4 linked regions of the Pelodiscus sinensis genome follow. The protein of the gene in region 3 interacts with the protein of the main gene of each other region in a biochemical or structural test. Links are inferred from orthologs where the notes say so. Each region holds a gene or a part of one and is shown on either strand. Other genes may lie near its edges.

Region 1 (7,818 bases), on a different chromosome or scaffold from region 3:
GCTGCATACTGAGTGGATGTTTCCAGAGAACTATCCACAATGACTCCAAGATCTCTCTCTTGAATAGTTTTAGCCAAATTAGTCCCCATGTTATTGCATATGTAGTTGGAATTATTTTTTCCCCAATGTGCATTACTTTACATCTATTATCGTTAAATTTAATTTGCCATTTTGATGCGCAGTCACTTAGTTTTGTGAGGTCCTTTTGAAGCTCTTCACAGTCTGCTTTGGTCTTAACTATCTTGAACAGTTTGGCATCATCTGCAAATGTTGCCACTTCACTGTTTACCCCTTTCTCTAGATCATTTATAAATAGGTTGAATATGATGGGTCCCAGGAGAGACCCTTGGGGGACCCCACTAGTTACCTCTCTCTACTTGGAAAACTTACCATTTATTCCTACTCTTTGTTTCCTGTCTTTTAATCAGTTATCAATCCATGAAAGTTGTCTTATCCCATGATAACTCACTTTACTTACGAGCCTTTGGTGAGGGACCTTGTCAAAGGCTTTCTGGAAATCTAAGTATACTATATCCACTGGATCCCCTTGTCCACATGTTTGCTGACCCCCTCAAAAGAACTGTAGCAGATTAGTAAGGCATGATTTCCCTTTACCAAAACCACATTGACTTTCCCCCAACAAATTACATTCATCCATAAGTCTGAATTTTATTCTTTGCTGTAGTTTCAACTAATTTGCCCAGTACCGATGTTAGACTTACTGATCTGTAATTGCCAGGATCACTTCTAGAGCCCTTTTTAAATATTGGTGTCACGTTAGCTATCTTCCAATCATTAGGTACAGAAGCTGATTTAAAGGATAGGTTATAAACCACTGTTAACAGTTCTGCAATTTCCCATTTGAGTTCTTTCAGACCTCTTGGGTGAATGCAATCTGGTCCCAGTGACTTGTTACTGGTAAATTTATCAATTTGTTCCAAAACCTCCTCTAATGACACCTCAATCTGGGACAATTACTCAGATTTGTCACCTAAAAAGAATGGCTCAGGTTTGGGAATCTGCCCAATATCCTCAGCCGTGAAGACTGAAGAAAAGAATTAATTTAGTTTTGCCACTATCACTTTATCATCTTTGAATGCCCTCTTTCAGCATCTCAATCATCCAAGGGCCCCACTGGTAGTTTAGCTGGCTTCCTGCTTCTGATGTACTTATAAAACATTTTTGAGTTTTTGGCTAGCTGTTCTTCAAACTCCTTTTTGGCTTTTCTTATATTTTTTGCACTTAATTTGACAAAGTTTATGCTACTTTTTATTTTCTTCACTAGGATTTCATGTCCACTTTTTAAAAAAATCTCTTTTTATATGTCTCTGCTTCTTTTACCAAGTTAAGCCAAGCCACAGTGGCACTCAAGACAGCACCTGTTCCAACAGCCAACTGTAACTTGGAACTGATTCGGGTTTGCAAGTAAAACTTTAACATGACTTTTGTTTCATAGTTACTTCCAGACTTCATACCAATAGCCACTCCAGTAATTACATCAGTGAAATTCTGAAATGTAACTGCCACTGCAGAGCTGCAGGTATCAGGATGTGAGTCCCACAAATGTGCTTGTCCAGAGAGATTCAAAGTCAAAAGCACACAGAACACCATCAAAAGAAATCCCAAGTCAAATTTTTAAAAAGGAGGCACTTACATGACACTACAGCCTTTGGGAATATACAGGTTGTTAAGATTCAAAATTTTCAGGAGCAACTAGTGATTTTAGGTGCCTTGGTTTTCACATACCAAACACAAAATGCCTTTACAGCGGCCTCATTAGTAAGAAGTGTTATGCACTCACTATCTGAGCAGACTCCTCCAAGATGCTTACTGCTGGGCACCCAGAAGCTACCAATCATTTTGACAATCCTGAACTTGTACCCATTTCAATATCCGCAAAATAAGATGTCTGTTTACAGGTAAAACAGCAATACCTCCGTTATCAGCAATGTGCTTCAGGACATCTTCATCAGCCACAAATTTGGCTTCCAGGACCTTGCTCTTCTTTACCTCCAGCTGATTCATAGCAGACAGTCTGCAACGCCCGCGAACAATAACTAGGCAAGAAGAAGCGGGCATTGCTCAGCCACCCCGCATTATGCAAACCTGCAGCTCCGCACGCCCTTTCGGGGAGCACAGCCCGCCGCGCGCACCCCGCCCGCAACAGCCAGGAGGCTAAGCACGGGGGCTTCCCACGGGGGCTAGGGCGCTGCAGAGGACTTAGCGGGGGGGGCTCAGAGGGGCCTCTGCCCGGCGCTGGACCCAGCAGCTTTGCAAAGCGGCTCCTGGCCTTCCCCGCGCTCCCGGAAGTTGTAGCTGCCTCGAGCTCCGATCCCCCCCCCCCCGGGCTCTCCCGGCCGCAGGACACCTCCGCGAGCCCCTCTCCGCCCCGCCCCACGACTCACGGCGCACGCCAAGGCCGGGCAGCAGCAGCGCGAGCCGGCGGGCGCCAGGCTCATCCTAGGACGCGCAGCCTCTCGAGAGGGCGGGGCCTGCGCTGCCCCCAATGGAAACGCGATCGCCGGGGCCGCTGACGTACTTATGCCCCACCTCCGTGGGAAAGAGGGCGGGGCCAAAAGGGCGGTTGCCCCCCCCCCCCAGACTCCTCCCCCTTGTAGCTGTCACGCCCCGGGAGCCGGGGGGGAGCGCGCGCAGCGTACTTCGCGGAGCCCCGCCGGCCAACCGCCTCAACCGCCACTGACTTATGGGGGAGCGCCGCGGCTCCCGGAACGAGCCCCCCGGCGAGCAGGTACCAGCCGTTGTTGCGTGGAACAGCACGCAGCTCTGCGGGGAGCAGGCACGTAGCTGCGCCGCGTGGGAGGCTGCTAGCCCCGTGACTGGCCGGGCCTCAGGCTGGCGGGTGGAGCCTGGAGCAGGAAGTAGAAGCGGGGCCAGAGGCAGCTGCTCCCGCCAACCCCCTGGCCCTGCTGCAGGGGGGCTGGGCCCCCAGAGGAGTAGGGGGACCCTGAGCCGGGGCTGCCGCTTTCCCTTCCGAGGCTGGGGGGGCGGGGCGATGCAGAGTGACCCGAGGCTGGGGGGCGGGGCGATGCAGAGTGACCCGAGGCTGGGGGGGCGGGGCGATGCAGAGTGACCCGAGGCTGGGGGGCGGGGCGATGCAGAGTGACCCGAGGCTGGGGGGCGGGGCGATGCAGAGTGACCCGAGGCTGGGGGGGCGGGGCGATGCAGGGTGACCCGAGGCTGGGGGGGCGGGGCGATGCAGGGTGACCCGAGGCTGGGGGGGGCGGGGCGATGCAGGGTGACCCGAGGCTGGGGGGGCGGGGCGATGCAGGGTGACCCGAGGCTGGGGGGCGGGGCGATGCAGAGTGACCCGAGGCTGGGGGGGCGGGGCGATGCAGAGTGACCCGAGGCTGGGGGGCGGGGCGATGCAGAGTGACCCGAGGCTGGGGGGCGGGGCGATGCAGAGTGACCCGAGGCTGGGGGGGCGGGGCGATGCAGGGTGACCCGAGGCTGGGGGGGCGGGGCGATGCAGGGTGACCCGAGGCTGGGGGGGGCGGGGCGATGCAGGGTGACCCGAGGCTGGGGGGGCGGGGCGATGCAGGGTGACCCGAGGCTGGGGGGGCGGGGCGATGCAGAGTGACCCGAGGCTGGGGGGCGGGGCGATGCAGAGTGACCCGAGGCTGGGGGGCGGGGCGATGCAGAGTGACCCGAGGCTGGGGGGGCGGGGCGATGCAGGGTGACCCGAGGCTGGGGGGGCGGGGCGATGCAGGGTGACCCGAGGCTGGGGGGCGGGGCGATGCAGGGTCCCTTTCAAAACTTCAGCAGAGCTGGTTTCCCTGTAGAATTGATTTGGGTTTCTTTTTCCTGCAGTGGGCTGGATACACTGAGGCGGAGGAAATGCAAAACCCTGCTTCCCACAAGCATTCAGGCATTTTCTCCATGGCCTGAAAGTTGCTCAGCATCCCACTTGATCCCAATACTCTCCAGCCTGGAACCCCCTCCCCAAGCCAGCATCCCCTTCTCCACCCAAATTCCCTCCCAGAGCTTACATCTCTCACTGCCTTATTCCTACCCCAGAGTCCAGTGAAATTGAGTAAGGGCTGAGGACAGCAAGTGATTGGGGGGGGGGGGGCAGAAATGGAGTGGGCAGGGCCTCAGGGAAAGGAGAGGGGGTAAATCTTGGCTTGATCTGACACAAAGTAAACTTGGGTGTAAAAAGGTTGGAGACCACTGCTGTAATTGATATTATGTTTGTGACTTAGTTCTTATAATTGCTAATGTGGTGTTGTTGTATCTGCAGCTTGGCATAAACAATGGGTATTATGTACTATTTCCAAAATTGGTAAAAATCAAGTTATCTTAAAAAAAAATCTCACAAACTACAGATTGAACATCTGTGGGCCAGGACTCTCGGATGTTGCAGGACTAGAGCGCCCAAGAACAGAGGTAAAGCAGGGAGCTGAAACTCAAGGGCCAATCCTCAACCCAACTTGCTGAACTCAAACATAGCAAATTATCTGAGCTAGAAAGGATGAAATTTAGGCAGTAGAGATATAAAGTATTCCACTTAGGAAGGAATAATTAGTTTCTCACACAGACACAATGATAGAGAGGTGTTTTTTAAAATATAAAACTGTTATTGTTATAAGACACAAACAGGAACATTTTAGTTTTCACATCAAACAGCAAACATACTTATACATAGTTAAAAGGTCTCTTGCTACATCTACACAACAAGGTTTTTGCGCAAAAACCCGCAGAGCGTCCACACCTCAAGCATGCTTTTGCGCAAGGAAATCAACGGTGAAACGGCAGAACATAGGGCTTTTTGCAGTGTAGGTAAACCTTATATAAGGCATAACTCCTTTTTGCACTACAGCTGTTGCACAAAAAGGCATGTGTGGATGCTCCTCAGGGGTTTTTTGTGCAAAAAGAGCCTATCTGAAAAAGCACAGGTGCTCTGATGGCCATTCTGTGAATGGTTATTGGAGCTTTCTTGCGCAAGAGCGTCCATGCAGTGTGGACATTCTCTTGCACAAAAGCGCATTGCAAAAGCGATGTGTTTTGAGGTGTGGACGTTCTCTTGTGCAAGAAGTTTTTGTGCAAAACGCCTGTAGTGTAGATGTAGCCTCAGAGACTACAGAGCCCACAGCGCGTGGTGACAGCTCCCTGGGAGCAGGGCTGGCAGCCAGGATATTGCATGTAATCATAATGGAAACCAGTAAGCTGATGTTTATTGGTTAACTTAAAATGGTTACAATCTTACATCTCTATTCTGCATGGCTTTGTGCTTATAGGAAACTACTCCCACTGGCTGCAATTACTGGCTAGTAGGAGCAACGGGGGTGTAGCTTGCAAGTGAATGTAGGGATGGAGCTTCCCTGTGCAACTCTTCACAGAGCTGCTTCCCTGCTGCGGGATGCAGCCTGCAGCTTGCCTGGATCCAGTCCATGAGGCTCAGGGCCCCCTTCTCCCCTACAGCAGGACAAGATGGTACTGTTGCTCCAGCCATGCAGGGAAGGGGGGGGTATGTGACGGACCAGGCTTGGTCTAGGCACCACTGAGGGCATCAGCTCAGGGTGAATTGCTCAAAACCAGGGCTACTTACAGCCCTCGAGTGGAGACCTTTCCCAAATAGTCCACAAACCAGTCACACAGAGCACTTCAGCTACCAGTCTTGCCAGCAGGAAGCCTCACAAGCAAAACCCCTCAGGCACTCCAGCTTTCCCTGTGCCACAATCAGCCCCGCACCTTACACACAAGGTGAGAGGTTATAAAACCTGATCTCACCCACTCAGAACAGATCCTCCTAGTCCCAAAGAACCAGCCACAGTCCCAGGACAATTTACACTTTAGATCTTACCCACAAGAGCAAGCCGAGTCAATCCTTTAGAATCTAAAGATTAATAAAAGAAAGAAAAGGTTGTGTAAGATTTACATACATCAATCACCAAGTTCTTGATGCAGGCTCTTAGGAGAGATGTTACAAACTGCTAGCTTAAAAGTCTCTGGTGTACATCCTGTGTCAGGATGGGTCAGCAATTCTTCCTGGCTCTCTGTCCCTAGCAAGGATTCATCTGGAATCAGGAGCAAGATTGAAGACAAGATAGAGATGCCTTCATGGGATTTTTATATTCCTGGTGTCGCCCAAATTTGAGCTTCACGTGCAAGCAGCCATGAGGCATTGGCTGGAACTGCAGGTTTCCAAACATATTCTTCAGGTGTTTATCAGCCACTCTGAGAGCCATTATCCAAGAAGCAGTGGCTAATTAGCACAGCCATTCACTGAACTATCATTCCTCACAATAGGCAGGCCAGGCCCCTTGCTCCCTCTGAGACAGAAATTATTTACAGTACAAGTACAGAGCCCATATTTATAACTTCACATACAAACACCATAGAAGTAGATGAGTAGCATACATAGAATCAGCAGACTCGTATAAGCTTTTGACACCTCACATGGCCCACTTTGTACAGAATTTGGGGCAAACACCACCCATGGTGCAACAGTGATCTTTCTGCTCACTTTAAAATCCAATAATGTGACAGGGCACCAAGCCTCGGAGCCCCTTCCCCACATGGTTGGAGTGCCAATGCTGAGTTGCCCTGTTGAAAGAGGTGGAAGGTGTTGTGTATGGGGTTGTAGATATAGATCTTGTTATAGTAACTGAGTTAGGTCACATGGGGTTAGCCCCGCCGGTTTGGGCTGGTTCTAGCTAGTTCTGTGTTATGAAATAAAATGGACCCTTGCAACTGTTTAAGTTCTCTGTGTTTCTAGTGATTTCTTCCTAAACTGTGGAACGCCAAACGATATAACAAAATGGTCTGATAATCACCCATCTGCGTGTATGTAGGTGAGGGGTCATTAGCTTCTGGAGCAGGGATTTCCCATGCAGCAGTGCTTCCCTGCCTTGTGTGTTACAGAGTCTTCTCCATTCTGTATACTCATGGAGTGACACACATGTATACTAAGGGAGCTTTCAGAGGGGTTTAGGTGCGTCTTCCCATATGCCTTCTGATCGGCTTTGGTTCAAGCAGTGGAAAGGTTTTTTCGTTAGGCTGACAGGTTGGATGATATGCCCTCGTTCACCAAGAACATGCTTCCATAACAATAAAAAGGTAGCCAGTGCTATAAGACCGTTTCTCAACCAGTGGTACGAGTACCCTTAGGGGTACTTGAGAGAGGCTGGGGGGGTATGTCAGCACAGTGGGAGAAACTGATTTTTTGTTTTAAGTTTTACAGCACTTTATTATTTTTGTACTTTTTACACCCAAAAATTTCATCACCTGCCTGGCTACAATTAAGTTGTTTAAACAAATGTGTTCCAATGGTAGCAAGAAAATTGTGTGTCTGAAAACTGTAGGTACTTGAGGTACTTAGTTTTTTGTTTTTTTTTAAAGGGGCACTTTATTAAATGTTTGAGAAACACTGCTATAAGGGAATCACAGAAAGAATTGCTAGAATAAGTAACTACTATTTACTTAAATGTTTTGGAGCATTAGCTAGAAAAATAAAAACAAATAGGACAGTGACATGCATTGCACAGAGTAATAAGTAAGAGAAAGAACATTTGCAAAGGAGCAAAATTATAATTAAAATGGCTTTCAAGGAGAGGACTACAATTCAAGGAATCACAGCAGCAGATTCTGTGAACCGTTATGAGACTTCATGCCTGCATACTGACTGAGCAGAAGTGGCTGGGGAGACGCAAGCAAAGGCCGATATTAAACAGTAGCTAGCATGCAAAGCCTCCTCCTGCCCTGCCAAGAGTGCACAGCATTTCTAAGTGCCGTGTGCGCCTCCCAGGGCAAGGGTAAGCCGGAGGAAACTTTGCATGCTCCTCCTGCCCCCAGTCAGGC
Region 2 (7,696 bases), on a different chromosome or scaffold from region 3:
TGCAAGCTCTGGGAGGAAATTTGGATGCAGGAGGAGGTGGAGAAGGGGATGCTGGTTTGGGGAGGAGGCTTCAGGCTGGGGAGTGTTGGGGTCAGATGGAGGGTTGTGGTACTAAGCAAGCCACAGGCTTGTGGCTGTGAGGGTGCAGGAATTCGGGTTGGGGTATGTGAGAGGTTCAGGGCAGGGGGTTTCAGTGTATGATAGGCTCAGAACTAGGGCCTGGGGGGGGGGTGCAGGAGTGTTATAATGCTGCAGCCAGATGGGGGCTTGGTCCCAACTGGGGGTTTGTTGGCCAGGCTTAATTTTTTAAAAAAATACTACGTCAAACACAAAAAGTTTCTGCATTGTCTTTATTTATGAGAAGGGCAGGGAACCTGTTTTGCGTCGGGGGTCACTGACCCACAGAAAAGTTAGTTGGGGCCACACGAGATGAAAAAAAACCACACCCACACACCACACCACACCTCCTGCCAAAAACCCCCGAAGCCTCACTAATGTGGCCCCAACTGTGCTGGTGAGAGCAGGGGACATGGTACTGGGGAAGGGTACTAGTGGTTGCTGGGGTGGGGGCAGGGTTCTGCAGCAGGGCACAGGGTACCAGTGGGAGCAGGGGGACAGCGTGCCAGGGTGGAGGCAAGGTGCCAGTGGGGAACAGGAGAGAGGGGACAGGGTTCTGCAGCACGGGACAGGGTGCAAGTGGGGGCAGGGAGTCCCTGGCACCAGCCTCTTCCCAGGACCCTCCTCCTGCAGAGGAGAGAAATCCCCGCTCGTGCCTTCTCCGGGGCCAACTCCCCTTCCTGAAGAGGAGGGAAGCCCCCACAGCTGCAGGACTTCTGTCCACCCCACAGAAAGCAGGCACTACCTCCATTTTTGCTGGAGGTAGGTAGTGGGGCTTCTTGGGGGAGGAGGGTGGCCCGAACACCTCACGATCGACTGGTCAAGCCCTCGCAATCGATTGACCAGTTGGTGACCACGGTTGAGTACAGACTAACTCAGCTACCCCCTGAAGCTATCAATTAGAGCGTCCATGCTAAATGAGACTAACAGGGTGATTTTGCCTTCATTAGGAAAAGGCTAGGTCCTTGAGTTCACACATCGTAAGGGGAGAGACTCCACACGCCCCCCCCCTTCCCTTTATGGTGCAACCACTAACATCACCATTATTAAAAACCAACAAATAGTCTTTAAAGTGCTACTAGTAGACTAACAAAGCATGTAGATGGTATTATGAGCTTTCATGGACACAACCCACTTCTTCAGATGACCAGAGTGCTGGAAGTCCAGGTCCAAGAATAAATAAGGGAAGGAAGGAGAAGGAAAAAAAGTTGAAGGGGAGGAAGAAAAAAAGACAGCGAGCAGATAGTCAGCTATCCCTCTGAAGGTTAAGTCTGTAATAGGAAAAACTTAAAAAACAACAAACAGTATACAGGCAGTCCCCGGGTTACGAACAAGATAGGGACTGTAGGTTTGTTCTTAAATTGAATCTGTATGTAAGTCGGAACTGGCATCCAGATTCAGCCACTGCTGAAACTGACCAGCGGCTGACTACAGGAAGCCCGAGGCAGAGTTGCTCTGCCCCGGGCTTCCTGGAATCAGCCTTTGATCAGTCTCAACAGGCTGAATCTGGACGCCAGTTCCTACTTACAGATTCAACTTAAGAACCCCAGGCATCCCCAAGTCAGCTGCTGCTGAAACTGATCAGAGGCTGATTCCAGGAAGCCCGGGGCAGAGCAACTCTGCCTCGGGCTTCCTGTAGTCAGCGCTGGTCAGTTTCAGCAGCGGCTGACTTGGGGACCGCCTGGGGCAGAGCAGCTGGGGTGCTGCCGGGTTGGTCCAGTAGCGCCCAGAGTGGTGCTGCGGGACCAACCGGCAGCGCCCCAGCTGCTCTACCACAGGCGTCCGGAGAAAAGCCGGGTCTGCTGGGGGGGGGGGGGGCGTACTAGCTGCGCCCCTCCCTCCCCCCACAGAAGACCAGGGAAACGCGGGCGGCGGACCGAGAAGCTGCCTGGGTCCTCCGCGTCTCCCTGGTCTGCTGGACACCAGCAGACCAGGGAGACGGGGAGCAAACCCCGTTCGTAACTGCGGATCCGACATAAGTCGGATCCGCGTAACTCGGGGACTGCCTGTAGTAGCATCTTAGGCTACGTCTAGACTGCAAGCCTCTTTTGAAAGAGGCTTTTTCGAAAGATACTTTCGAAGTTAAGCTCCAATCCGTCTCTGTGCATTAGGCTTGTGGAATTGGTCTGAAACAAAACAGCCACTGGGGGATCCCTCCCTCCATCCCTTATTTAGTCTTGGAGCTGGACTTCCAACTCTCCAGTCACCTGAAGTGGGCTGGGACCAGGAACGCTCAGAATACCAGCGGCACCTTTCCTTAGTCTTCCAAGTGCTACCGGACTGCTCGCTGTTGTTTACGTTTTTCCTGTTGCAGACTCACTCTGCTCCCTCCTGGAGCTGATCCCCGTTCCCATCATGATCACCCGGGGCAGAGCCGCAGGACCCCGGCACAGGGCTACGGAGCCTTTCCCCCCGCTGGGAGGCGGGTCCCGGCGGCAACCACAAAGGAGGCGAGTCCCCCCCCCTCGCAACTAGGGCTTGGCGTCCGCCCCTCCCCCTCGGCCGCCCCGCCCGTCACCGTGGCCGCCCCTCACCTCCAGGGTGTAGTTGCGCCTCATGCTCTGGTAGCTGAGCCAGGCCTCGGCCCGGGCGCGCTCGTCCATGTTGAGGCTGTTGCAGAGATCCTCGTAACGCTGCCGGACGCCCCACTCCTCCGCCGGGGGGGAGGAGGCGGCGCCCCCGACCCCCGCTTCGGCCTCCTCGTCCTCTTCGCCCGGCATCCCCTACCCCGTCGCTAGAGGGCAACGCCAGCCTGCCGCGCACTGCGCCTGCGCCGCCCCAGACCAACCACCCCGGGACCGAGTTCCGCCCCAACCCTGGACTGCCATTGGTCCCCCAAGGAGCCGCCGCCAATCAGCGGGCGCTTTTCCGGCAGGCGCAGAACGCTTCGCTCTACGCAGCCGCCGGCGACGGCGTCTCAGCGACCTATCGCGGCAAGACGTGCCCGCCGCCCCGGCCCACAGTTAGCCAGCAAAAACTACCACCCCCAGGAGGCATTGCGGTGGCTCTGGCTCGCCGGGGCCTGACGCGTAGGCCAGGTGGTAGCGGCGCGCGCAGCGCTGTGAAGGAGGCCGGCCGCCTCTAGGCGGCAGGCTGGTTCCGCAGCTCCTCGCTGCCTGGTCCCAGCATGGAGCCCCGCCCTGAAATAGCGCTGCGGGGAGGCGCGTGAAACAATGGCCACGTGGCGGCCGCGCTGCCTTTCGCATTCGGTCCGGGGGGGGCTGCGATTCTGCACCGTGACACGTCACAGAGCTAGGCCGGGGCAGCGGCAGTTCCCAGCCAGCTTGTCTGGCCGGGGTGCAGCCGCGTGCAGGCAGGGGTGCAGCCGCCCCACTTGGTTTCCGCACATGCAGAGTTACATTCCGATTCAGTGGCTCTCCGCACCGGTGAAGAAGCGATGGGACAGGACCTGGAGGAAATGTTACTTGCACCGCTGCTGCTCATTGGTTACCCCTCATGATTACACACAACCCCCCAGCTTTGTGTAGGGCACAGGAGCCAATGCCCCTGGAAGGTTCCAGTCTACTGCCTAGGTTAGAAGGCAACAAATGAAACATTCCCATTGTGGTGGTAGCCAACGCTGGGCTCCACGGTATTTGTGAATGTAAGGGGAGATGTGATCTGTCGGGGAAGGGGAAAGGGCAATACTCAGCATCTAACCCGAGCAATGAGAGCACAGTGAGGAGAAGTGCACATCAGACTTCGACAGTTTTATGAAAGGTGTCCCTGCCATTAGTGTGTCTGCCTGTAATACTCCCTCTCCTCTTTCCAACACAAGCCATAAGCAGACTACCCATTAAGAAATTAATGCCTTTTTATTTAGGGAACATAGCAGGGACAGAAAAGAAGGCCAGAGCAGGAACTGAAGGATGTGAATGCGTACAGGGGCAACCCATGGACCTAGGCAATTGCCTAGGGCACCATGGGTCCAGGCGCCTGATGATGTCATGATTACATCACAGCCATTGACAGCCATGCAGGCACAGGTGCCGATCGCACCTTCCGCCTAGGGCACCAGCTGCCACAGTGAGCTTCGGACCGCTTCTGAATGTGTATGATCACAATTGCAAGGACAGCCTTTTGTTTCAAGACATATCCCTCAGGGTCGAGTGTGAGTGACTCCCACACTCTGTTCTAGGGCCATAGGAGAGGAAGCTATGAAAATCTCTGAGGAGGGAATGTTGTTCTGCAAGGGCTGGAGAGGGTGCCTGTTCATGTAGGCATTCTGGAAAGCTGCCATGGGGTCCATCACAACCACCACACACATCAAGATGATCCTGGTTCCTCACTTCCAGTTACCTGCATGTTCTCCTGTCCTCATGTTCCATGTACATCTCCTTCAGCAGCGTATTCCTCCTTTTGCTTAAGCACTCCCTCTTCAATTTGGCGGACTGCACTTGTTCCTTGAACAAGCCATTCCTAGTCTGTTTTCGCCTGCAGATTTGTAACAGCTTGATAGCTCTGTGGGGCCAGCGGAGTTAGCAGCAGGCTCACAGCTGTTCCTGCTGTAATGAAAAGTGGAGAGCAGCCCTAATAGGAGATACATTGTAGGCATAAAACCTAATGTGTCAGAATGAAAGGAAGTGGCCACAAAGTAAATCCATTACTGTAGCTCTTTTCACCAAGAATAGATGGGGGAAATTAAACAATCCTTTCAAACTTATGTATCAATACAATTTAAGACTGAAAATCAGGGAAAGTGAAGCCAACATTTTAAGCCTTTGTTGTAAAAAATTTTAACTGTGTCTGTTTGGTCTCCTCATATTCGAACAAGTTGATTTGAGTTTTTGTTTTAAACACTTTTCTGCTATAACCGCTCAAAATTGTCCAAACCTTTTCAATTTACGGTCCTGATCCTGCAGATCCTCAGCTGGTGTTAATTGCAATCATTCAGTGGATTTCAGTTGAGCTGTAGCAGTTTACACAAGTTGAAGATCAGGGTCTGTGAACCTGTAGTGATTGGGATTACTCATACAATGCAGAAAGTGAAGTACACTCATTCTTTGCACGGTTATGGCCTAAATGTTCAGGAGGACTAAGAAGGACCCACTGGAAATTACCCTGTAACTATTTACAAAAATAATAAATACAACCTCCTGAATTAGAAAGATAAAATCACTTAAAACAGATAAAATTATTATTTTAAACATGGCACAGTCTTCATAGCTAGCTTTGTGCCAGGGCAATTGTTTTATAGATTTCTGCTCAATAAAAAACAATTATGAAATATTTTTATCACAATGTTTGGTGATAAATATATTAATTGATTTAAAATAGTGATAATTTCCACTGAAAAGTCTCCCTTAAAAGTTAATCTGCTAATATGCACAAAGCTCAGTTGTGCAAAATAAGATCAATACACAACTTAAACATTAACTCATTGTATCCCTCTAACTCACTGCTCAGAGCCATCTCAGGCCTTGTCTACACAAAATTTTCAGTCACCAATACTACTGAACTGGTGTAACCCCTAATGTAGACACTAATTATGCCAATGGAGTTCTGGTCCATGTTTACAGCTCCCAGATGCTATAGCAGTCCACATAATACTAGACTTTTCACCCTGGAAAGTGCTCTGAGAAAGAGAAACATGATATTTCTTACAAGACGACCAGGGTTGCAGGGAACTTTGGGAGACAACATATGGGTTTTTACATACATCACATTGTTCACTTCCTGAAACAGCTGAACTTCTTTGAATGCAGTAGTCTCAAAGTGAATTGTTCCTGACAAAGTGGCATTCTAAAACCAAAATCAAGTATGTCCATTACTGTAGACCAAGCAGTGCGCCCATAATTTTACAGACAATTCTATCAGAATTTGCAGGCCCATATGCAGGAATTTCTGGGTGGGTGTGCTTTTTCATAAATTTAGACTGCAAAGATGTGACCGCATCTCCCCCACCCTGGTCTCCCAAGTAAGCTGGAAATCAGCCTCAGCCTTCCCCTGGCCGACTAGAGGATGTGGGAGGGAGGCTGGGACAGGGCACCTCTCCTGCCTTTCCCCAGTTAACTGGAGCATGTTTACTTGGGGAACCATGGTGGTGGTGGTGGTGGCTGGGGGGGGGGGGGTTGCACCCTTCGTATTCTCCTTGTGCACAAGCTTGATTTGTGTGGCAAAGTAGTAAGGCAGAACAAAAATCCTTCATACATGTTACTGTCATGCTGCCTTGTGACCCAATTTTATGTTACCTACTGCCAGGTGAGTGATCTAGTTGACACTGCAGCAACCTTACTATATAAACCAAATGGCTGGCAATCTTGAGCACCAAGGCAATGATCTCAAAACCTTTACACTGGCAGATGACTGAATCCACTCTGGTCATTTGGGTAGGGAGAGAATAAATATAGGGGCAGATTTTTGAAGTAATGGCTACTAAGTTGCCATCTACCTTGGAGACTAAGTAGTATTTCTTAAAGGATACAGGGTACTTATTAGTCATATCTTGATCCAGGTTAGGTTAGTCCAGGGTAGGCAATAAGACAACAGTGGTTCACCAGGATAAGCCCCTGGCGGGGTACCGCTGCTATATTTACTGGTGCCTCCACAGGTACCGCTGCTTATCCCCTTTCAAAGCTGAGAGATATCTGACAGCTGAGTAAGCTGCTCTGTTTGGGGAACAAAGAACAAATCATTGGAATGTTGTTTTGTCCTGCATTGGGAACACAGTAGCAGGCAGCCTGCTGGTGTGAGGGCAAGGGTATAGACGCTGTTCTGCTTTGACATTTCTCAGCATGGAGGGCTCACAAAGCTACTCATCATGCTGCTCCCAGCAGCTGAGGCTGTGGGAGAACTCAGAGGGAAACCCAAGATGTTCACAGATCAGCTCTGCCTTCCCACTACATAGGTGATGATGGTGTCCCCAAAGTGGACATGATCTGTTGACCAAGGGAGCAAGTGTGAACACCCTCTGGTGATTTTTGTTTTGATGACTTTTGGGTGTCGACATAAGTGTAGGCATACCATTTGAGATCGGGCCAGGGAGCGAGAAGGGGACCCATGCTCCGAAGAGGCCTGAGTTGTCTGCTGAACAAACCAGGGAGAGGCCACTGGCATCAATGTTCTGGGCCTGTTTTTCTTAGGTCCAGGAGACTTGCCCTTGCCTTACCTAGTGAGCGGTGCCAGTTAGCGGTGCCATCAGGCCAGCAGTGCTTGGTGCCGAATCTGAATGCTCATGCATCGGAGCTAAGGTGGACTCCATTACAGAAGACTTCAGATGAATATGTCTGCCTGGTGCAAGGCTTGAAGGACTTGCAAATGTGGCATATATCACTTCTATGAGCTTCCGCTAAGCACTGCAAATGGTCGCAGTGAGTGTCACTCACTAGCATGGGCTGATTCCAGCTGTGACACAACTTGAAGCCAGGGAATAGGTCCCTATGGAACCTGCACTATTTAGAACAGTAAACGAGCAATAGAAACTATTTACAAGGAAAAGCAAGTTCAGCTAGGGAAATGCTCACACTGAGATGAGCAGGTTCCAAGCACCGTCACTGTCAGCAAGAAGAAACTGAGGGTAGAGAGGACTGGAGGTGCCCTTTGTGGTAGACACATGCCGCATAATTAATTCTGTGAGGTG
Region 3 (7,974 bases):
GCTGGTTACCTTGATGAGGGGCAGAGGGATGCCGCTGACGGAGGACGAGTCCATGAATTTCTTCAGGTCCTGGTGCAGGAACTCGAAGACCAGGTAGAGCTTGTTCTCGGTGTGGATCACGTCCAGCAGCCTGGTGAGAGGAAGGAGAAGACGTCACGGCTTCTGCCCTGATTAGAGGGCTGGGGGCATTCGCACTCTGTGCCCCATGCCCCTCTCGGCCTCTGCTGGGGCTGCCAACCATGGAAGTGGGCAGCACCAGCGTGACAAGCTTGCGTGCTGGGGAGCCGGGCCAAGACCAGCCATGTCTCACAGATGACGGCCACATGAAAGTCACGGATCTGGGTGCTCCCTCCCCCCCCTCCCGGGGGGATGAGGGCTCTGGATCCCAGCAGCCCAGCCACCCTCCTGAGATGTCAATAACACGCCCTCCCCCACTTACTTGACGATGTTGGTGTGGTTCAGCTCCTTGAGCAGGGAGATCTCCCGGATGGCCGTGCTGGGGACACCCTCCGTCTCTCTGCAGTGGGGGGGGAAGCCATGAGGAGCCTGACAAGCTCCATTCTGGGGCTCCATTCGGCCCCGCTCTAGTGACCTCACACCAGGCAGCCTAACGACTCTGTCCCAGCTCAGACCTGCCCTGCAGCCCACACAAGTGCCAACTGAGGGCAGCAGTGACAAGCCAAAAGCCCTTTACCCCGATGTACCACCATGGAAACTCAGCCACCTCTGGGGTAGAAGCAACAGCGAAGAGAGGGGGCAGCTTAGGACACAGGGAAGCAACTTCTGCTCCCCCTCGGGATCCTTAACATCGGTCCAGAGCCAACAAGGCCCTGCTTGGACTCCTGCCCCAATCACATCTGGACCAAACCAGCTGTCTGGGTCGGAACCTGGGAGCCCAGGGCTCTCCAAAGGCACTGCCCTGAGCGCTGCCCATCCACTCCCAGAAAGAAACTGACGTGCTCACGCCAGGGGCCAGAGCACCAGCTGCTGGACAGGGCACCAGCTGCAACATGCAGCAGAGCAGCCCTGGCCTGGGATACAGCCAGGCCCAACCCCATTGACCGAACAACGGCCAGTGACAGAGCATCTGCCACAACCCTTGGGCGCTCGTTCCAGTGGCGAATGACCCTCGTTGTTACAAACGTGGGCTTTATTTCCCAGACCAACTCGACCTCCAACTTCCTGCCACTGCATCTCTTAGACCTTTGTCCGCAAGACTGACAAGGCAGTGGCCAAATTCTGATTCCCCAGGTAGGGGCTCTTAGACCAAGGGCAGTCAAGGCCCAGGCTCCAGGGAACCCTTTTTCACACAGCGATGTATTGAGAGAGTTTGAGAGTCTGTCTGTTCAAGGACTCCTCCTAAATGCTGAGAGCTAGGACCACCAAGGTCAGTAGGCAGCTTCCTCTTATCATAACTTAAAGCCAGGTCAGGGGTTGTGCCAGGGAAATGGGATGTGTCTGGAATGGGACTGCTTCTCAGAAAACCGTACAAAAAAGTCAGCCACCAGGCAGGGGAAAGGGGTTGCCCCCCATGGGACTGCCCCAGCCCTGAGCCTCTCGCCTCCCACCCCCCAGGTACCCTTTAGGAAGGGAACTCCCCCCCCCCACACAATTCGTACGGGAACATTGCTGGCTGTTCCTCTTCATCAGGTAGCAAGGGGAAAATGCACCATTTGCTGCATTCCTCACTCTGGCTAGGGGGCGCAGGGGGCAGACAAACCTGGATCTGCCCCGGACGAGGGACAAGCACAATAATTAGGACCTGAGCAGCACCAGGTAAGTCTTCCAGCAATAAATAACGAATAAGTAAAGACAAAGATTTTGTGGCCTATTCAGAAACACCTGGTGGCCTGGACTTGGCTCGCGGTCCAACCTGTTGACTAGGCCGGTGACTGCTTACCCTGCTCCTTGTGAGGCTAAACGCTCGGACCTCCCTGAGTCTGTCCCTCCAAGGCGGGTTTTCCAATCCATTCATCATGCCCCTGGCATCTCCGAACCTCACCAAGAGACCCACACCCCTTGTAGGGTGGACACCAGCCCCAGATTCAGACTTAATTCTGAGAATGGCTGTTAAGCACAGCTACAGGCAAAGCCTAAGGAGTGTGGGTCTGAGTCTCTCCCCCCCGCCCCGTGACCTTTGTCAGGGCACCAGTGAAGAGTATGGGGCAGAACTCCCCCACTCACCAGAAATGGGGCTGTAGAAATGGTGGAGGGATGCAATTCCTGCTGCACCCATCACCCCACGGGTTCAGCTGGGTGGACTTAGCCCAGGGAGAACAGGAGCTGGGAATTGCTGGGAAGCCTCCAGCGCTCCCATGGAGAGGGTATGGGGTGCCCCCCCCCCAACACCAGCAGGGCTGGAACAAGTTTTATGGGGGGGGGGGGCGCTGAGAACCTCTGACCCCAACTGTAACGCCTGGATATAACGGAAACCACTTTAAGTGGGGGGGGGGAGCGCTGCAGCAGCCCCGCACCCCTACTTGTAACGCCCATGCCCAGTCCTAGTGCTCAGACCGCCCCACCTTGGCTGCACGTGGACTCAAGCCAAGTGCCCACTGACAGCCCGTCCCGCAAGGACCGGGGGGGGGGGGGGCTTTCTCCGCCAGATCTGCAGGCCCCGGGGCACCGCACTTCCCCCGGGGCGGTGTCCTGCAGAAGGCCCCGAGCCGGCCGGGGAGGTGCCGACTCCTCCCCCCAAAGCTGGAGCTACCCCATGAACGGGTGGGGGGGGGTACGGCCCCTTCGCGGGGGGGGACTCACGTATCCAGGCGGATCTTCTTCAGCGCCACCACCTCGCCCGTGGCTTTGTTCTTGGCCTTGTAGACAACCCCGTAGGTGCCCTCGCCGATCTTCTCCACCTTCTGGAAGTTCTCCATGGGGCCGGCCCCGGATCGGGCCCGGGTGCCGGGGATCGGGCCCGGCAGCGCGTTCCGCGTCCCCCGGCGGTTACCAGCCCACCCCCCAACTGGCTACAATGTAACCCCCGGCCCGGCTGCTTCCCGCGTTCCACTCGCCCCGCCCCACCCGCCGCGCCATTGGCTGGCGCCCGGAGGGAGGGGAGGAGCGCGCTGGAGGCGACGCGGGAGTCTCCTTAAAGGGACAGGCCCGGAGGCAGGAGCAGCCCTCCCCGCTTGTAGGGGCGGCCGGAGCCAGGGTGCCCCTAAGCCCTAGGACCCCCCCATGGGTGTCAGTGAGGGAGCCAGGCCAAAGGCTGCTCCCAGCTCCGTGTATTATTGGGGTGATTTCCCCAGTTCCCCTGCTGGATTCCTTGAGCCCCCTGAGCTGTGTCTAGGGGGATGCACCCTGTGCCCCTCCCCTAAGGAGACTCCCCCATTATTTAACTCCATGTGCCCCCCCTCCCAGGGGACTTGTCCTCTCTCCTGTCCCTCCTGCAGAGGCTCTGGCTGGGTCTCTATGAAGGGGACTCCAAGGGTTGGATTCCCATCGATTCCTTTATTATTTCAGTTCACGTGCCCCGGCTCGGGACCCTGTTTCTACACTGCCTAGGAAGCCAGGGCTGGGTTCTGCCCTGAGGACCTCGCTGGGAACCAGGACTTTCAGCTTCCTTTGAAACCACTATGAGCCAGCTCCTGAAAAGCATGGAGGCTCCAAGCTTCCTTGGAGGTTCTGCACCCACGGCCTCCTCTGCAGTGGGATTTTCAACCCTAGCAGCCAGCCAGCCACGTGACCCCCTTGCCTGGCCTGCCAGAGCCGTACTGAGCAGGGCAGCACGACAAAGCTGTGCCGCTGGTTGGTGAGATGCTCCTGACTTGAGCAGGGCCTAGAAGCACCTGCTCTGGGAACTTCAATCGGGCAGACAAAAGAGCCGGCCGTGGGAGGCCGCGGAGTTCCTGGGGAACTTGTTTTGTCCTACACTTTGTGAGCCTGCGTGCTATTCGGAGTGATGAGCTCATGTGTGTCTTGGTGATACGCTGCGCTTGCTGCCTGCCGGGGCTCAGCTCCTGAACGGGCACCCAGGGGGTTGCTGGTGTGAGGCAGGTTTATTGTTTGAATGGGCTCTCTTCATTTCCCTGAGCCCAGGGTCTCCTCACCAAAGGGTTCCAGGTTCACCAGTTCCAGGTGCCTGCCCAGCTCTCCCCCTCTGTGCAGTACACGCTCCGAGAAAGTCCATCATTATGGAGCTATGCACGAACCCTGGTTATCTCAAATGGAAATTCCTGACCACTTCAGTCCAAACACAGGGGTTTAGGTAAACAATCAAACCCACGTATTAACTACAGGAAGATCGATTTGAAGTGATGACAAAGGAATAAGGCATGAAAGTCAGAATTGGTTACAAAGAAATAAATGATAAAACACAAACTAATACTTTACTTAGTTAGGTGAACTAAGAGCAGCTGGATTTCTGTCACCATATTTTAACAGCAGTCTGGCTGGATTCCTTCCACCAGGACCCCTCTCCAGTTCACCGACACTTCCTTTGTCTTTGAAATATTGTTGAAACCCCCAGTACAGATGAAGAGAAAGATGTGATCGGGGTGGGGCCTCTGTTCCCCATTTTCCTCCTCTTTGAGAATCATCCCCAGCTGGGGTTCAAGTGTCAGCCAGCCTGTTCCTCTGTCAAGCCGTGAATTTCTTGTTCGCACCCTTCTTGCTAAAGAAGGGCTGCCTAACCAGGGAACAGTCCAGTTGGTTTTGCTGACTCCTGGCAGAAGCATCAGTTTGCCTTTTACTTACTGAAGAATTTATTTGTGCTTCTTCCCCGATTGGAAATACACCCGTAGTAACATCATCCAATGGAATCTTATAACTTTACATACAATGTGGCCACACCTATTTTAACAGGACAATAATGATCAGTGAATTATGGATTTTCAGATGATCACTCACAAGGCATATTTTGCACAAAATTTGTCAAGGGCTAATAAAAGTGGTAAACATAAGGGCACAAGGGAAACATGGGTTTATTAAACAGGATTTTGCTGATATGTCTAGTGTTTGGGGGGGAAGCGATGCAGCAATCACTTTCTTAGCAGGCTAATATCCTGAACACATGGGCCCAGATCTGCAAAGGAATTTAGGCACTTAACTCCCATTAAAATCATTGGAAGTTTGGCTTCTAAATTCCAATAACTCCTGGGAATTCTCTCTCCCAGTTTGTTCCTTTTATTTAAGGGACACAGACAGAGTGAGAATGATACATCTAGAAAACAAATTCCCTCCCCGGTGCTACTAATATCCTTTGCACCGCACATAATTAACGTGCGGAACTCACTGCTGCATGGTCTTGCCACAGCCAAGAGCTTACTGGGCTTCAGAACAGGATTTGGCATTCGTTCTGCTGCCCCTTTTGCTGAGCAGTAGCAGATTCTGGGGCCTTCCAGGTCAGTTTCTGGTCTGGAGCAGCCATGGGTGATGCTGTCAGGTATCTCCTTAGTGTGGCTTGTCTGTTTATGATGGGTACAAAGTTCCGGTTCCTTTGAACCGAGGTGGGAGCAGGCAGCAGCTTCCTGTGCAAACAGGGTGACAGCACATGCAGCTGTGCCTCTCATGCAGCTGTCTCCTGTGCCTTGCTTCAGGGAACCACAGAAAATCCCACAACAGCTTGATGCCACTGTTCCCAACTCCTCCTTTGGGGGCCATTCGCCACGCCCCAGCTCCCTGCGGTGCTGCCAGCTCTACTCATGGTGCTCTGTATGGGAGGAAAATAGGCTAGTCAACGTCCCGTTAGCCCCTTGTCAATTACTGGATCGCCCCAGGTTGCAATGAGCAATGCCATTTTGATTGGAACGTAGTGATTCACAGCAATCGCTCTAAGCCAGGCCTGTCCTGAACAAAACCTGGAAAATCAGGGGTCCCTTGATTTACATGCCCTTGTTCTACTACTGGCACCCCACAGAGCCAGGTAATCCAGCTTGTCTTTCCTTCCCATTCACAAGCTAACCGAGCACGCAGGAGTTGCACCGGTTTCATATACAGTGGTTTGAGAGTGGATTTAGTAACACCAGCCACCTCCCCCTCCCACTCCGTATGCATCTCAGTTAGTGATTTACTACACGGTCGATCAGCGTAGCTCACATCTACAAACACAGACACATGCTAAACCACTAGAAGGTGGCAGAGGGGTAGCCATGTTAGTCTTTAATATTAAAAACAATGAATAATCCTGTGGCACCTTAGGGTGTGTCTACACTGCACCCATACCTTGAAAGGGCATAATTTATTTCGAGGTAATTTCAAAATAGCTTATTTTGAAATTTGGCACCAACTACAGATCGCCAAATTTTGAAATAAAGCGTTACTCCGACAAGTCCCTTAACCCTCGTGGAATGAGAATAGCATGACCGTTATTTCGAAATAACGGGCGCGTTTAAAGACTCAGAATAGCTATTTTGGGACACTTCCAGTATCCCGAAATAGCGCCAATGTCTAGACATGGCCTTAGAGATTAACAAAATATACATAGTTTCATTAGCTTTTGTGGGCAAAACCCACTTCATCAGATGAGCTGGAGAGGGATAACAGAAACTCAGAATTCATAAGTTCTAGTGTTCTATGATTCTATAACAGAAAAAAAAAGGAAACACTTTATAAGGTGGGTTTAAATCCAGTTTCAAGAGTGTCCACAGACAAAGTTGCATGGGTTTAATTGGACTGGCTTTAAATCACCCCTTAAATTAATCAGGTGAAGTCTGTATGTTCACCGGGTCTAAGTCACTCGTGTTATAGAATGTTCCACTGGAAGGCATCTCCAATTTGATCAAACTAGTTAGCTTTTTTGCTCCACTCCTGCTGTCGGAAGGCTGTCTCGGGCCATCAAGGAGCTACATGTGACCTGCAAACACTGGATAGGACCTATGGTGGAGGAATCTACCTATCCGGTCTCTGCTATTTCAGGTGGAAAAGCAGGAAGTTGACAACTATGGAATTGGCTGCTCACAAAAGACATTTCTGCCTTGCCCCTACGAACAAGAGACTGGATCATGTTGAGAGCCCTGTGGGTTTATGGGTCTGATCCAACCCCCGCTGAAGTCAATGGAAAGTTTCCTTCGTGTGCCTACTTGGTCTATTTCAATTGTAAACTCTTTTGGGGGTGTGTGTGTGGCAGCTGTCTCTTGTACAGCATCTGGTACAGTGGGGCCCTGTTCTCAGCCGGGCTAACATCATACATACAACCGGACTGTATACCCATCCGCTTCTTTCTTTGTTTACAGCTGCTAAGTGCTTGGTTTCAGTATCTTGCAGCAGTGAGCTCCCTTGGTCAGTTTTCCGTGTGCTGCACCTCTCCTGTCTCCTGCCTGGGGAGAGGGTGGCTAGAAGCTCCGGCCTGCCAAGTGCTAAGTGGCACCTGCTTTGCTCAGCATCGAAGTGGCTTGTCCTTTCGCCCCCCAACCCAGCAGTGAGGTCGTATCATGGGTTCTGCGTCCCTCCTGCAGCTCCGTGGTAATTAGGCCCTTTCTTCTCAGAGCGGAAACCGGCCTCTGTTCTTCCCCACTGAAATTCCAGGGTCTGTCTGGAAGGCACAACTCATGCGGCCCCATTGTGCTCGAAACACAAACTTGTGACTGGCCATCACCCACACACCCCACTGCTGGAGGGAGGGGGGATGAGATTTTCATGAGGTCATGCCAGGAAAGGGGCGGGGCTAGGCAAATGAGGCCTCCTTCTTATACAGGGTGGCCGGGGTGCTTGGCTTCTTTCTGCCTTCGCGGAGGGGTCCCAGGGAGCGCGGGGCAGGTTGGGAGATGCAGACAAGCTGGTACTTGGTGGCAGCCTGGGCGCTTCTGGCTGCGGCGACAGCTCAGCACAGTGAGTAGGGTCCTGATCCTTGGGCTTGGGGGGTGGGGGGCTGGGTTCTGTAGGGTCCCATCTGACCCACCCCCAGCCAATTCAGGGTCAATCCCTGTTGCAAAACACTGGGGCTGCTGCCAACAACCCCCCAGCATCTCCACTAAAGTCCAGGGGCTTCTCATCAGCCTGCGGGGGGGGCACATTTCTCGGGGGGGGGTAGAT
Region 4 (7,170 bases), on a different chromosome or scaffold from region 3:
GACAGCACTTTGGCGTATTCCTGCAACAACACATCAAAACCCAAAGCATCAGGATGGAAATATTGGTGACAATTACCAGGATGTTCACATGCTGATTGATGGAAGACTGGACTCAAAAGGAGGATCTCTGTCAGAACTCTCTTCTGCATCATGCCCCCGCTTAGAGCCACCAGAACCATAAGATTATCCACCCCCATCAAAACATTAGCTCTGTCAGCCACTTTGGGAGCTCTTAAGGGCACTTTTATAAAAAGATGGCTCCTTTCAGTCAGAGATGGCTCCTCAGGCCCCCCCGAGAAGTTTAGCGGCCATTAGGGATGTAATAGTGTAGTCGATTAACCAATAAGCAAAAGCTTATAAATTAATGCTATAGACTACACGCATTCCCCCCTTGCCAGTACTTTTAGCAGGCCAGCCAGCAGCCCAGCTCAGTCTTGGCTTGCGTCAGGTCTGGGACCTACCCCACTGCGGCTCTGCATTTCAAATGTATTAGGAGCCAAGCAGGCTGGCAGCCCAGCTCAGTCCTGGCTTGTGCCAGGTCTGGGAGCTCAGCCCCTGGATAGGGGCTGCTGCCACGCAGTGCTGCTGCCTCTGTATCAGAGGCAGCAGTGTGGGGTGACAGGCAGCAGGTCTGTGAGGGGAACTGGTTTTTGAACTGGCTCCCTTTGCAGACTAGCTCCTGCCTGGCACCCCGCGCTCCTGCCTCTGATACAGTGGTGGCAGGGGCCTCTGAGGAGCAGGGCCAGAGCACGCTGGCTGCCAGCCCCTGCCTCACCCCCAGGGACTATAGAATAGTCAAGTAACTGATAAGAATTCATGAGGTTAATTGGCTATTCAGGTAACCGACATTTAACATCTCTAGTGGCCATGCTATTTACACCAAAAGACTTTTGATTTTTTTTTTTTTTAATGAAAAGCCCGCTCAGAATTCCTTGCAAAAGCAGGGACAGAGTCTTATAGACAGGAGCCTCTGACAGGTGATCCTGACTGGTTTGGCTGCCCCTCCCCACACTGCCTTGCCTCTCCCTGCCCAGACCCTCAGAGCTGCCCCCTGGGAGCCTCCTGCTTGTTGTGCAGGGTGGGGGAGTCAGAGGCAGGGGGTGCTGATGTCACTCTGTCCCCCTCCCCTGTACCCCATCCTCAGAGTGAGGAGGGCAGGGCCTTGGCAAAGGGGTGGGTCAAGGGCAGGGCCTTGGAGAAGGGGCAGGGCGGGGATATTTGGGTTTGAGTTAAACCCTGCACTTCAAAAAGTGATCTTGTGCTTCAAAAGGGCAGAGACCACTGTCCTAAATTCAGACCTCAATGTCTCAATCACCCCACCCCTCAAGAGCAAGCTGCTGCCCCAGCCCTTGTAGCAGCACCAGTTGACGTGCACCCTGGTTCACGCTGAGCAAGGAGACTGACTTTCATCCCAGCTTCATCTTCCATGCTACCTGCACCACCAGGGCTGCTATGCTAAAGGGAGAACAGACGCACTATTAGGTCTCTGCCTGCTGGGCAGCCTGGGTGCAAAGAAATCAGCCCAGAACAAGCCAAGCTTGTGAATGGCCCAGCCCCTCTCCTCCTACTACAGCGTTGGCTGGCAGGGTGGCTATCGGAGCCTTGTGCCTGGGGCTATTCCTCATCCCACTACCAGGCAGACTTTCCCCACCTACTGCCAGTACCCGAGGGGGGCCTCTTCCTGGAGGAGGTGGCCACGATGGGATTTACCCTGCCAAGGTGCTGAGGTTCCTAAAGCCTCGAGCGAGGTCCGTGACCGGGGTGCGGGGCAGCTCCGGGGTGAAGGGCAGAGAGACCTCCGTGTCCCTCAGCAAGTTCAGCACCATCCTGCATCTGGCTCGGAAACCCAGACGGGAACGGGGGCTGCCGGGTCCCGCAGGGGAGATATTCCCGGCCATGGCGCTGCGGCCCGCGGAGCCGCCACCTAGGAGCAACGCGAACCGAGTCACCCGCGGCAGCCTCCCGTGCCCATCCCCGGGGCCTCCCGCCCGCTGCTCTCAGCGTCCCGTGCCCATCCCCGGGGCCTCCCGCCCGCTGCTCTCGGCCTCCCGTGCCCATCCCGGGGCCTCCCGCCCGCTGCTCTCGGCCTCCCGGGCCCATCCCCGGGGCCTCCCGCCCGCTGCTCTCAGCCTCCCGTGCCCATCCCCGGGGCCTCCCGCCCGCTGCTCTCGGCCTCCCGTGCCCATCCCGGGGCCTCCCGCCCGCTGCTCTCGGCCTCCCGGGCCCATCCCCGGGGCCTCCCGCCCGCTGCTCTCAGCCTCCCGTGCCCATCCCCGGGGCCTCCCGCCCGCTGCTCTCGGCCTCCCGTGCCCATCCCGGGGCCTCCCGCCCGCTGCTCTCGGCCTCCCGGGCCCATCCCCGGGGCCTCCCGCCCGCTGCTCTCAGCCTCCCGGGCCCATCCCCGGGGCCTCCCGCCCGCCGCTCTCGGCCTCCCGTGCCCATCCCCGGGGCCTCCCGCCCGCTGCTCTCGGCCTCCCGTGCCCATCCCCGGGGCCTCCCGCCCGCTGCTCTCGGGCTCCCGTGCCCATCCCCGGGGCCTCCCGCCCGCTGCTCTCGGGCTCCCGTGCCCATCCCCGGGGCCTCCCGCCCGCTGCTCTCAGCCTCCCGGGCCCATCCCCGGGGCCTCCCGCCCGCTGCTCTCAGCCTCCCGTGCCCATCCCCGGGGCCTCCCGCCCGCTGCTCTCGGCCTCCCGTGCCCATCCCCGGGGCCTCCCGCCCGCTGCTCTCAGCCTCCCGGGCCCATCCCCGGGGCCTCCCGCCCGCTGCTCTCAGCCTCCCGGGCCCATCCCCGGGGCCTCCCGCCCGCTGCTCTCAGCGTCCCGCGCCCATCCCCGGGGCCTCCCGCCCGCTGCTCTCAGGTCTTGGCCTCACCCCCTCTAGCTCCAGGTCCCGAGCCCACAGACTTGAATGAAAATAGAATACTCGGAACTTAAACCTGCCGCCTGAGCCCAGCCAATCACAGAGATTGGTGCCGATCGTGACCAATCAGAACGACTGAAGGATGCCCCCCTCCCAAACAAAATCGCCGCTCTCTGATTGGGTAAATCCGCGTGACTCGAGCGAGGTGCGCACCTATTCGGGGAGAAGCGGACGGAACGTTTTCTATTGGACGCTCGAAGGGGTTCCGCCCATCTGTGGCTCTGTGAGGCCAATCACCGTCCCCGGGAGCACGTGGTTGCTGGGGTTGCGGCCGTAGATATCAGTGAGGCGAGGCCGGCCTATCGAATGGGGAAGGTTTTGCTTGGTTGTGACGTAGTGCTGCATACACCCCCACCGCTTGCCTCTCATGCTGCCAGAGTCTCACGCGCTGGGCGGTTGGGAGCCGCTGGCCTGCAGGTGGGGCGCGTGGGCCGCGCTCGCGCTGTTCCCCTGTCAGTCAGCGCCCCGTTGGGAGGGTTCCCGGTCCACGTGGGGCCGGCGCTGCCCTGACCGAGCTGGGGGACCCGCCCCCGCGGTCCCTGGGAGCTGGGCGCTTGCGGGGCTCGGGCACGGCCACGGAGCGAAGCCGCCGCTGGGTGTGTCTGCGCCTGGTGCACAGGGACGGGAAGGAGCAGAGGGCACCCGGGCTCCCGCCTTCTGGGCCAGTGGCTTTCCAGTTAGGGGCTGGTGCATGGCTGGGGCCCTTGCTGCAGTGTCCCTGAGGAAGGAAAGCATCTGGGCCTAGGTGATGGAGCTGGCCTTGCTGCCCGCTGGCGGCACTCCGGGCTTATTCAGGACCAGAAGTGCAGGAGCAGGGCGTGCTTGGCACCTTGTTAGCATGACTTCTTGTGCATAACGCTTCTAGCCTGTGTCTCACTTGGCTGATCATCCTCTCCAGGCATTTGGAGACTCTGTTACGCAGAGCCCTTTGGCTGCCTTCACAGGCAGTGACTGCTGCCCTTGGTTTGGAATTGTTCTTGGAAGCTCAGTTTTTAGCTAGCTCAACCTGCAGAAGAGAGGTCTGTCCCTGGCCTAAGCACTGGCTTTTCAGAAGTTAGTGTGTTCTTCCGGCCGAGGAGTAGTAGGATCACTGAGCTCACTGCCTTGTAGGGAAGGTTTGCAAACTCTGTCTAAGGTGGAGAATTGATTTTTCTTCTGTAATTGACATGCAGTTCTCTATTTCACGAACCTCTTGTTCTGGGATGTGAAGAGCCTACCTCTGGAACAGCATCTGTATGTGATAAAAACAGGTGGGTGGAAATGTGTTGTCTGTCTACAGTTAACAGACATTTGACTGTATCCTTAGAGATAAAATGCATGTAATTAACGGGGCAAAGAGACAAGGGAGCTGCTTGCAACCCTCCAAATGGGGTCTCCCTGGCTCATGTTGGGCCTGATGTTGCTGTGCTGTGGCAGCTCCCTGTGCAGCCTCATTGTATGGCTAGATGTGCTGTGGCAGAATTGGCAAGGGAACTGCCAGATGTCTCGATTTAGGATTATTTCTATGGCTTCCAGCATAAGCATGTTTAATATAGTGAGATCAAGGGCATAAGAATGAGCAATTTGTGCTGGAAAACAGCAAGGGTATGTCTACATTGGCCAGACTTGTGAAAGAACATATGCAAATGAGGCATGCCTCATTTGCATACTTAATGAGCCACTATTTTTGCACAAGGGGCTTTTGCGCAAGAAGGAGCAGTCTACACTGCTCCTTCTTGCGCAAAAGCCACCTCTTGTGCAAGAGCTGTTCTGCTGCTTATTTTCAGGCAGAACGGCTCTTGCACAAGAGGGGGTTTTTGCGCAAGAAGGAGCAGTGCAAAAGCCCCTTGTGCAAAATGGCAATGCAGGATAGCGGCTGCTCTGGCCAATTTCTGGAACAGAGTTGGAGATATGGAGGACATTGTCCCCTCTTGTATCCTGAAATAGTAGTGTAAGAACCTGTCTCCAGTACATCTCCCCACTTGTTTCCCTGCTGCCCTCCCGCTAGGTTGGATGCAGAAAGCTAGAGCCAGGCAATGCAGGATAGCGGCTGCTCTGGCCAGTGCCACAGAGCAGGAAGCAGCCGTTGTCCCTCGTCTTCTGCTGGTGCCCCAGACTGAATCTGCTCCTTAGTTTCCAGCCCCCTTTGCACCCACAAAGGCAGCAGGTAAGAGCCACCCAAGTGGAGAGATGCAGTTCCATGGTTGGCAGGCCCTTCTGGGAACAGGGACTGCAGGGGACACCTTCCAGCACACAGCCCATAGTACCCTCTTCCTGCACCTTAAGCCAGCTCCTCTCTGTATACATCTCCTAGCCACCACTCCTCCCTGCATCCTGAGATACCCCCTGTCAGCACATAGTCCCTAGCTGCTCCCTCTCTGCACTCTAAGCTGTTTTCAAACTTTTTGCACTGTGCCCACCACATTTAAATTATTTCTGCTTGTGCTCCCCCCAACCCAGCCAGGCTGACTTGCTGAGGTGAATTGGGGTGAAGGTGGCTTCTTTCTGTGGACCCCACTGCATAGGCATGGGAAGTTGGGGTATAGGGAGTGCTACAGCACTCCCAGCCCCACATGCCAGCTGGACAGTGGTAAGGGGCTCACCACGCTCACTTTTTAAAATGTTCCTGCACAACTGTCCCACTGTACAGAGCTGGATCAACCACTGCTGGCCCTGATGCCCTCAAAATAGAAGTCAAACTATGCCTACACCCAAGGTCCCTGCCCTGAGAAGTCGCCCTAACTCTGCTGGACCCTAGAATTCTTAATAGCATGTTGGGGGGCATCAAATAGAACAATGTTGAGAATCCCTGGGATGAAGGATGGATGAAGTGCATGGCTCACAGAATAAGACACTTCCCTTCTCCTAGGCTCCTTCCCTGCTCAGAATTCCCATTGTTCAGGAAAGTGGTTGTACATATTGTAGCCTGGGGAGGAGATATAGTGGAATTTAGTTGGGTAAGGCTCGCCAATCTGACCAGAGATTCTAAGTCGATCTTCTCTATCCCAGGTTACAAGTGGGTAGAACCAAAAGATTCCCCCTCATAAGGGTTTGCAGACGATTGACAGTCACACTTCAGATTAGGAAATGCAATGAAAATCAATTTTATTGCCACAGGAATAACGATTACAGAAACCACAAAGAATATGGCAGTAAGAACATAGATTAACTGAATTTCTTCCACAGATCAAACTACAACTTATCTATGTATACAGATATTACATAAGAACAGTCGTACTGGCTCAGCCCAAAGGTCCATCCAGCCCGGTATCCTGTCTGCTGACAGTGGCCAGTGCCTTCAGGTCTGATTGGATTAGAGGCAAGGCTTTGAGACAGACCTACCATCAGCTTTATAAGAAGGCAACCAGAGTGGCCAACAGGGTAGTTTGCCTGAGAGTTCACCCTGAGGAGAGACCCATAGTGTTTGGTCTTTTCCTTGAATTTTTTTCTCTTCTGCCCTTCAAAGGGGCATTTAAAAACATGTGAGAAATCTCTCAGAAAGAAGGCGGTGAGATGGTGATGGGTCTGCTGCTACCTGCACCACATGTGCCATGTTTGTCTTCCTCCCAGAAGACAGAAATGATTTCATCTGCACTAAGTGCAAGCTGGTCGCCGTTTTGGAAGAAAAAATTAGAGGACTTGAGGCTCAAGTATCAACCCTACGTTCTGTCAGAGGATGAAGATTTCCTCGATAGAAGGCAGCATTTAACCCTGCAGGCACAGCAGGCTGAAGAGCCAGTCAGGGTAGTACAGGACAAGGAAGAGAACTGGCAGCATGTAATCTCCTGGAGAAGAAGGCCAACTCAGGTGTCTCCCATTCCTGTAGAGGTAAGTAACTGCTTTCAGGCTCTCTGCACAGGCACTACGGTGGAGAATGCTTTGGCAGGGACCTCTCAGGGAAGAAATCAGAAGGGAACACCATCTACTGGAAGGAATGGGATGTGTAGTCCTAGGGATGGGGGGGTCCACAACCCCCCTCCCCAAAAGAAGAAAAGTGGTGGTGGTTGGGGACTCCCTCCTAAGAGGGACTGAGTCATCCATCTGCTGAGATCTGGAATCTCAAAGTGTGCTGCTTTCCAGGAGCTTGAATTCAGGATGTGACTGAGTGTCTTTCAAAACTGATCAAACCTTCCGATTGCTACCCCTTCCTGCTTCTCCATGTAGGAACAAACGATACGGCCAAGAACGACCCTGAGAGGGTCACTGCAGATTATGTAGCACTGGGAAGAAGGATCAAGGAATTTGAAGCACAAGTGGTGTTCTTGTCCATCC

Evidence for each region.
Region 1: the proteins of CDK2 (region 3) and ORC2 form a complex in vitro, tested with the Homo sapiens proteins (2 studies listed by BioGRID and IntAct, with this or other methods). The link is inferred for Pelodiscus sinensis from reciprocal best matches to the Homo sapiens genes CDK2 and ORC2.
Region 2: the proteins of CDK2 (region 3) and RBL2 form a complex in vitro, tested with the Homo sapiens proteins (3 studies listed by BioGRID, with this or other methods). The link is inferred for Pelodiscus sinensis from reciprocal best matches to the Homo sapiens genes CDK2 and RBL2.
Region 4: of the proteins of CDK2 (region 3) and CDC25C, one has a biochemical effect on the other in vitro, tested with the Homo sapiens proteins (3 studies listed by BioGRID). The link is inferred for Pelodiscus sinensis from reciprocal best matches to the Homo sapiens genes CDK2 and CDC25C.

What each region holds. Positions count from the first base shown.
Region 1 is NC_134717.1:73,602,632-73,610,449, forward strand, and holds the start of ORC2 (origin recognition complex subunit 2), read right to left. Parts: upstream 3,005-7,818; 5' UTR 2,754-3,004; intron 2,750-2,753; exon of another isoform or gene 2,594-2,749; intron 2,552-2,593; exon of another isoform or gene 2,406-2,551; intron 2,058-2,405; 5' UTR 2,026-2,057; coding exon 1,935-2,025; intron 1-1,934. UniProt on the Homo sapiens protein: Component of the origin recognition complex (ORC) that binds origins of replication. DNA-binding is ATP-dependent. The specific DNA sequences that define origins of replication have not been identified yet.
Region 2 is NC_134722.1:33,781,288-33,788,983, reverse strand, and holds the start of RBL2 (retinoblastoma-like protein 2), read right to left. Parts: upstream 3,004-7,696; 5' UTR 2,838-3,003; coding exon 2,652-2,837; intron 1-2,651. UniProt on the Homo sapiens protein: Key regulator of entry into cell division. Directly involved in heterochromatin formation by maintaining overall chromatin structure and, in particular, that of constitutive heterochromatin by stabilizing histone methylation.
Region 3 is NC_134729.1:4,334,151-4,342,124, forward strand, and holds the start of CDK2 (cyclin-dependent kinase 2), read right to left. Parts: upstream 3,013-7,974; 5' UTR 2,877-3,012; coding exon 2,761-2,876; intron 518-2,760; coding exon 440-517; intron 131-439; coding exon 10-130; intron 1-9. Other genes in the region: melanocyte protein PMEL, read left to right, coding at 7,707-7,770. UniProt on the Homo sapiens protein: Serine/threonine-protein kinase involved in the control of the cell cycle; essential for meiosis, but dispensable for mitosis. Phosphorylates CABLES1, CTNNB1, CDK2AP2, ERCC6, NBN, USP37, p53/TP53, NPM1, CDK7, RB1, BRCA2, MYC, NPAT, EZH2.
Region 4 is NW_027465994.1:524,211-531,380, reverse strand, and holds the start of CDC25C (M-phase inducer phosphatase 3), read right to left. Parts: upstream 3,014-7,170; 5' UTR 2,872-3,013; intron 1,925-2,871; 5' UTR 1,899-1,924; coding exon 1,711-1,898; intron 21-1,710; coding exon 1-20. Other genes in the region: oocyte-specific histone RNA stem-loop-binding protein 2, read left to right, coding at 4,092-4,169. UniProt on the Homo sapiens protein: Functions as a dosage-dependent inducer in mitotic control. Tyrosine protein phosphatase required for progression of the cell cycle. When phosphorylated, highly effective in activating G2 cells into prophase.